Linked DNA regions of Oryzias latipes. The protein of the gene in region 1 purifies or fractionates together with the protein of each later gene. This does not show direct contact. Links are inferred from orthologs where the notes say so. Each region holds a gene or a part of one and is shown on either strand. Other genes may lie near its edges.

Region 1 (3,500 bases):
CTGGGACAGTACATAAAAACATCACAGTCAAACGCAATCCAACAACTAAAGCCAGTCAATAACGCCTCCTGGCACATTCAGAGTAGCTCACAGCAAAGTCGATGCAGCATCGGCTAAAGCATGACGGATAAAAACTAAAAAAATAAATAAAAAAAACATTAAAAAGTCGATAAATCTTGAGCCACATGACTGTTTATTTTAAAACAGAGTGAAAAGTAAAATCTTAATTGATGGCAAGTGACTCACTTTAAGATGGAAACATGCTACGATGGGGAGCTTCTTCATCGTTAACTGTTTGGTAGACTCCTGGTAGCTATGGCAACCACCGCATTTGATTTTGGCACTGCTTCCGAGATGCTCAGGTCTTGTGAATCTGGAAAGCAGGAGAGTTAAATAGAAAACAAGCGTTTAGAAACTGAATGGCAGCAAACTGGAAAAAGCAGAGGATGAGTGGTGTTCACTGCCATTTTTAACACCTGTGTAATCCCAAATGTCAATGTTAAATCCCATGTGAAGATAATCTGAAAACATATGGGGACTTGTATAATAAAGACAACCTACAGGTTTTAAGTCAATTTTAGCTTAGCATCCTAAATCCCGGCTTTTATCGCAGTAGCCTTAATCACCGTGGCAACAGCAGCAGCCTGCTCTGTACCTTTAAGAGACTTGCTGCAGCAAGTGGGGTGTGTTGAGCTGCAGTTGTAAAAAAAAAATAAATAAATAAAAAAAAGATTGGGGAAGACAAATGTGAGAAGTGGAGCCAGAGAGAACAGGGAAAATTGGAATGAGGTGGAGAGAGGGGGAATCAAATAAAATTAGGAGAAGTGAAATAGAAATGGCAGAAGAGGAGGCAGTGGAGGAGATTTGAGAGGTCGCACCTGCTCCGTCAGCGTGGTTATCGGAGAAGATAAGGTTGAAGCAGCTTGTTGTGTGTGAGATTACACCAAACAAACCCACAAATTCAATTTGTTTCCCTTTCACTGAAATGGCTTGAAAGAACAGTCGAAGGTTTATCATGGAATATGATCGGGCTCCCTGCAAACAACACTGGTGTCTAGCGCTTAATGCTGAAAACAAAATAAAATAAAAAAGCAGATGAAAACATTAGAGAGATCCGCTGTACCTGCGCAGACAGTCTGTGAGGGTGGTGGATCCTGACAGGTGGCCCTCCCCATTTACCGTGCCGCTGTCCCCTCCAGGGCTAAGGGGCCAGAAAGGTGTTGATGATCCCGGCAAATCCAGACTGATGTCCCAAAATGGATCTATTGTTGTAGAAACCCCACTTAGGAAATGAAAAGGGGGGGGGGGAAAGTGAAAAGGGGAGGCAAAGAGAGAGATTAGTCGTTTATGTTTAATTAATGCTGTGTGTATCACTGATTACAGGTCATGATGAAAGGCTGATGACATCTGCAGCAACACAAACGGCCACAACAGACTCTGATCGTGTTTTTCTTCCAGCTTGCTGAGCGGTGGGAAGTGTGCACGTGCATAATTGGAGCACTTTTGCATACCAATGTGCAATTCCATAAAGGATTACATCAGGGACAATTGGCTTTATAAAAATGAATATGTATTCTTACAGCTTGATGACAATGAGTGACAACATTACAGAAGGGATGCTTTCGGTGGAGAATGCAGAGAGAACAAACGATCATGTTCTCTGCACCAGGAGGAGCTGCTTCACATTGTCATTATCGATTGAATGAGTCATGATTCTGTAAAACCCAGAGGCCAGCAAGTCAAACTGGTCTGCATTTATGGTGATGTGGAAGTCACTGTGTGCGACTATTGAGCTCCGCTGTTCAACAACCTCATAGCTTCTGTTGGTACCCACTTATCTGTAGTCAACAAGGCCTTTCAGGAAAATTAAAGGATTGTATTTGCCGCATAAATCTACACCAGTAACACCCTTCTACTGTCGGTACAGGTAAGATTGCTCTAAGCCGGGCCCAGCTTGGCTGCTACTCTGGGCGAGGTACTTTGCAGTTCAGTGCAGCGTGAATGTGTTAATGCGACAGGACAGCTCTAGGGGGCAGACAGACAACACTTGAATCGTGCTGCTGTCTAGACAACCTCCATTAAAGCAGCTCTGCAGGGATCGGGCCTTTGAATAAGAGCAGTGAAGAGGACACGAGCCATTCACACAACGCAAAGGGAGGGATGGGCAGCATCCACATTGATCAGCCTCGCTGGTGCGAGGCAAGCGCAGGAGGACAACAGACACATGCGGATGGATGAATAATTAATGTAAGAAAATCTAGAAGGCGTTTGTGAGGCTCCTTTAGGATGAATGGGGAGGAGAAATTGGATGTGATGTTGCGCTCTTCTCACGCAAACCCAACACTTACTGGCAAACTTGACAAGTGACGTCTGATTGCAGGCCCCCAGTGAAGATTTGGTCAATGATGCAGTTACAGTGATTTGGATTGTTGGCCTTTTTTCCATTGTCATCTGGGGGGGAAGAAAAAAAAAAAAAGATACAAACAAATCAGTCTCTCTTCAGGTCTGCGGATGTGTGACCATGTCGGTCTTGGATTTTGTGCTAGATGACTCCTTTTTACACGCCTGATCGCCGTCAGGAGCTAGCTAGTTCCTTAGCAAACATAAACATTTCAGTATGTGTGTGTGGGTCATGTGACGTAAGTGTTAACGCAGAGGAGTGGGAAGAGTGAGTTTGGTTTTTATGGTAGGATTGTCTGTTTTGTTGTTTTTGTTTTAAATGTTAAAGCGCTTCAAGTTGCGCAAGGTATGAGAAGCGATTTGATGTACATGAGATCTTACTGATGGTGTCTCCTTTGCAGTGTCTGTGTAGGACGTCTAATGCCGCGATGAGGAACTCGTGGGCATCTTGCTGCTCGTAGCCTGCGAGGTGGCGTGCGTGAGTCCACACCAGATGCAGCAGCCGGAAGGGAATGTGAGGTGAACGGTGGCCCGAGTAGAACTGAACAAGAATGAACAGACGGTTATCACTTTAAATATTATTTTTGTGTTATAACATCAGCATTGCTAGCTTACTTTGACCTATAGTTATTTGTTCACCAATAATAGAAGGGGGAGCCAGAAAGATATCAAATCCAGCTCTTCAGTTAACAGAACTGGATGCAATGACAATAATGCCACAGTGAGCTAATGCAACACAGACATGGAATAGGGGAGGCCTTGAGGCAAGCAATCCATCTGCTAATTGCAGCAAAAGGTTGCCATGAGAATCGAAGAAAGTGACAGTTTATGTCAGGGTGACACGATGTGGGCGGGAACGTTAGCAAAGCTGAGCTGCAGTACAGGGAAGAAGTCTACGTGAACTACTGATTAAAGATTGGGTTCCTGTCTTTCAAACCCTAGATGTGTCCATCTGGTTTGATTGTATACAGCTATTGCAGATGTACTGACAGCTATTACAAGCATGCCCATCCTTTAGCAGTGTAGGCTGACCTTTGTACATGAAAATGACAGAAAACCCATAAAAAAAAAGATTATAAAATGTAAAAAATATATATATA
Region 2 (4,246 bases), on another chromosome or scaffold:
TCCTTCAACTAATGCTGAGAAAAATTGAGTTTTTCTTTCCGCTTTCAAAATAAAAGCTGACCTCCCCTCTTTTGCATGAAAGACTGCACTGAGCATTGTTTACCACCAGCTGGTTGAAATAAGAATTAATGTCTTCTAGCAGCAGCAATTACATTTGAAGTATTTAGGATCTAGACTTAAGGACTATAAAACGGCTGCAAAAAGGAAAGAATTGGACTAAATAGAAACATTTTTGTGCTCTTAGTTCTCCTTGATGTACGGATGATCCGACATGACAAAGAACAAGGAAAGCTTAACTCACGTCCTCCTCCAGCACGTCACATGCCAGGTGGATGCGCGACACGTCCACCTGATGCGGCGTGGCCTTCAGCTTCCTCGCTCTGAGGCTCCACAGTTTGACGGCGGAGTGATCAAAGCCCGCGGACAGCAGCCGGCTGTCCGGCGACACCTCTGCTGTGTTCAGCATCTGCTCCGTGTGGTGGAAGGCGTAGAAACAGATGGTGGTGAGAGTGGGCGGGCCTTCGCGGACTTTCTTGATGCAGTCCTGCAGAGCCTCCAAGGCCGCTTCGCTCTGTGGGATCCCCACAGGGACCTCCACCCCGTCTGCAGCCTCTCCTCCATCCACCCCCGCCCACGATGTGGTGGAGTTTGGCGCCGTAGCTGAGCCCCCAGCTGCTCCATAAAGCTGATAGTCTGTGCGTCTCAATGCTGCCACATCCACCTGCAGGTGTGTGCTAAACACCCTGCAGAGGGCGCTGTTGTCCTCGCTCTGCAGGTAGCGCAGCAGGTAGTTGTAGGCCGGCTCTGTCAGGTGAACAGTATACTTGTGCTCCAGGAAAGCTCGGAGTTTGGGGTTGGCTGCAACGTCCTGAGCAGTGAGAACATGGCGGAGCTGCTCGATGACGGCGCGCTGCTCGCCGTCCTGAAGAAAGGCTTCATGGAATCGAGTGTAAAACCCGTCTACCGCCCCCTTCAGGCCACACCGCACCATATCCAAGTGGAGGTAAACAAAGAGCGGATAGAGGATGCCGCTCACCTCCCGAGCCCAAGATATTTCTGTTTCTGTAGAAGGGAGACAACTTTGTCAGGACATTTTTTTCAAAAACTAAACTTTCTGTGATCTGATTTTTTTGTGTCTGTTTATTTTCCTTTTTCAGTGGTTCTACATTTATGAGGCAAGGCCTGCTGTTTGGATCATGCCCTTTGAAAAACGTAACTATTTTATGCCAAACGGCCTTTTTAGTCATCAACTCCTGTGTGTTTTTTGTTGAATTCGATAATTGAAGTTTTAATAAGCAAATATTTAAACAATTTAACAATGTTTTCATGAAACAAACAGGGGTCTCAGTGGCTGTGAGAAATGTTTCCTATTAGAAAAAGCACCTTCACCTCACGCGTGTGAGAAATTGTAACCCAGCGAGACACTTTAGAGACCTCATGTCAGCTTTTGTCAGTATTTGCAGCACCGCACACATCTTCAACTTATCAGTTTGTAACTGTCAATTTTCTCACACAGTCTCGTCAGCGAAATAATAATAACTTAGTAATGGAACTCTATCAAGAACTGCTTTGCTGTGGAAGCTGAAGACCCACCAATCAACACAACGGTGGTAGACATCAGACCCAATCATCACAGACATCAACAACACACACTAACAAATAGCTTTGGAAAGTTTTTTTAAAGCGTAAATTTTTATATTTTTAGGCGTCAATATCCTAATTTTGTAAACCAGACATTTTATCTGTGACTAAATTACCCTTAAAAATAAAGCTCTGAACTTGTAAATAAACCTATTGTCTGTATAAGCAGCAGGACTATTTTTGACGTCCGGCATTAAGACACCAGAAAATTACTTTTTAATTATGTTTGAATCCTGAAAATCTCTGGACTGACAGTGGAAAAACTCCACACATGCATACCTGATAGAAAGGAGTGCAGCCTAGAGAACTGCGCCTCATACTGCTGTGGGTCAGACTGGCAGGGAGCTGCAGAGACCACGTTCCCACAGCCAGACTCTGTTTTCACTGCTTACAGATCAGACAGAGAACAGAAAGACAGTCAAGGATCCGTTTCAATGTTTCACACAACTCCAGCTGCACCAGGGCAGAAAGCTCACCTGTCAGGCTGGCAGCCATCTCCTCTGGAGACTGAGACAGTTTGGCTCCTTTCAAAGAGCCGTCGGTGTCCACATACTGCCGCCTCTTCAGGTACTGGGTCACAGCGTACTGGATCTGCTCAGTCCGGACCCTCTTCATGGCCTGAAAAGTCCACAAACAACTTTTGGGATATTTGTTTTAATCCAGTCAATTATAAAATGATGAGGGACTTGAGAGTCAGTTTTTGTGGAAGATGATGTTTATTTACAGCAGCAAAGCCCCCAACAGTTCCAGTGGCTAAATATTTACCAAATCAATATTTAAATTCGTGAGAACTGACTGAAAATTCTGATCTTGGTTTTAAAAAATCGGAAGCATAAAGACTAAATAATCCGGTGGTTACTCTGGAGGATTGCACTAAAAAACTGAGCTAGCCGGTCAATTTAGCATTAGCCAGTAGGTGGCTCTTAATAGTGACGGGCTTTTTCGTCACTAACAGCTAAAAATGCTACTCACTGCATATCTTTTTGTCCCGTTCCGTGAGCAGATAATTCTTTAACGATGGTCCGGTGTTCCCGTTTGCCGTTGGTCCGCCAAAACTACGCCGCTGAATTACAGTGGCGCCCCATCGTGGATACCCGCCTATCTTCTCCCCGTTCTTGCATCCGAAATGCTAAACTAGCTAGCCGCTATGTATCTTCGCTCCATTGCTTCTGCCTGGCGGTGACAAACTAATAAATCGAAGATACATGGATCTTGTTTCTAAATTCTTGTTTTTAAAGTCAACCTTCTACAAAGGTTACTATTATATGATTCCCTTTAACTTCAGGCTCTGATTTGCAACAATCTTGTTCTCTACCTTTAATTAAAATATATATAAATATATATATATTTTTTTTTTGTGGTTTCAGAATATACATATGTGGGCAAAATACTTTTTAACCAATAAAGTGAAAGAAATCTCATTCAAACTAATCCATAAATTCTATCCAACCAAACTATATCTGCAAAGGTTCAAAGAAGATATTGATGTTGCCTGCTCTTTTTGTCAAGAACACCCTGAAGATGCTGTACATTTATTTTGGTCATGTCCCTTCTCCACTACTTCTTGGTCTAAAGTTTGTCATTTCATTTCCGCCCACATTGACCCAGACTTTCGCCTGTACTTAGAAAATGTTATGTTTGGCATCACCCACTGTCCATCTCATAAAAAAGAACAGTTGTACTTCATTAACCTTTTGTTGTTTTTATGCAAATGGCACATTCATAAGTCAAAATTTACGAATCATACCCCTCATTTCTCAATCTTTATCAATGAGTTCAAACAATACATTAAGACAATAAGAAACTCTGATAATAAGAACGCCATCAAAACATTAGATCTGTGTGTTAATTTCAATATATATGCATAAAATGTATTAACCCCCTGGCTTGTTCCTTCGTTGTTGTTGTTCACTGTTTAACATTGTTTTGTATTGAATTTTTACATTCAATAAAGTTTGAAAAAAAATACATATGTGGGCGGGACTATAATGACGTATTATTCACGCGACTGTACCGCGCGGTGTTTGGTTCGAGGGATTCAGTTTCTGTTTTTTGCTCTTTTATCGCGTTAATAGCTTTGGAGACAAACTAGTAATACAGTTTCGGAGCTTTTGGGCTGTCAGGGGGGCACAAAGTATGTTTAGCCCCAGAACTGTTCCAGGTTCCGGTCGCCGGCCGCAGGGCCGAACCCCCGGGAGGAAGAGCCTCTCTGGGCCGGCCAACAGCCTGCTGTTCTCCCCGCGCAGGACGCCTCTGTCGGCGAGGTGAGTGGACTGTCCGAAGAAACGGCATTCTGCTTGAAACCCGGCTTTTGATTTTACATTTCATATAGTAATTTAGTTCAATTGACCCGGATTCAAACACTTAAACACAGTTTACTGCTACAGAGGAGACGCACAGGTGGGGGGAAATTCACAATTTGACATTTCTGACTCATTAAGTTCGTTATTTCAGATATTTCAGTCACTGGGCATCAAAACTTTAGATTCCATCAGAGGATTTATGCTTGTTCTTTTTCTTTTGTCACCCCCGAAATGTGTGTTTTTTCTGATTTTAAATGAATGGAAAACATGTCAGAATTATTCAAGACTTTTAGCAAATGTTT

The links. Proteins that work in one complex are often made in the same cells at the same time.
Region 2: the proteins of ubiquitin carboxyl-terminal hydrolase 22 (region 1) and taf5l purify together in Homo sapiens (affinity purification with mass spectrometry; 3 studies listed by BioGRID and IntAct, with this or other methods). This does not show direct contact. The link is inferred for Oryzias latipes from reciprocal best matches to the Homo sapiens genes USP22 and TAF5L.

The regions. Positions count from the first base shown.
Region 1 is NC_019866.2:10,853,391-10,856,890, forward strand, and holds part of ubiquitin carboxyl-terminal hydrolase 22, read right to left. Parts: intron 2,942-3,500; coding exon 2,770-2,941; intron 2,452-2,769; coding exon 2,349-2,451; intron 1,283-2,348; coding exon 1,124-1,282; intron 374-1,123; coding exon 247-373; intron 1-246. UniProt on the Homo sapiens protein: Deubiquitinase that plays a role in several cellular processes including transcriptional regulation, cell cycle progression or innate immunity.
Region 2 is NC_019859.2:2,094,608-2,098,853, reverse strand, and holds the start of taf5l (TAF5-like RNA polymerase II p300/CBP-associated factor-associated factor 65 kDa subunit 5L), read right to left. Parts: upstream 2,801-4,246; 5' UTR 2,614-2,800; intron 2,260-2,613; 5' UTR 2,257-2,259; coding exon 2,118-2,256; intron 2,029-2,117; coding exon 1,921-2,028; intron 1,063-1,920; coding exon 302-1,062; intron 1-301. Other genes in the region: nuclear pore complex protein Nup133, read left to right, coding at 3,778-3,905. UniProt on the Homo sapiens protein: Functions as a component of the PCAF complex. The PCAF complex is capable of efficiently acetylating histones in a nucleosomal context. The PCAF complex could be considered as the human version of the yeast SAGA complex.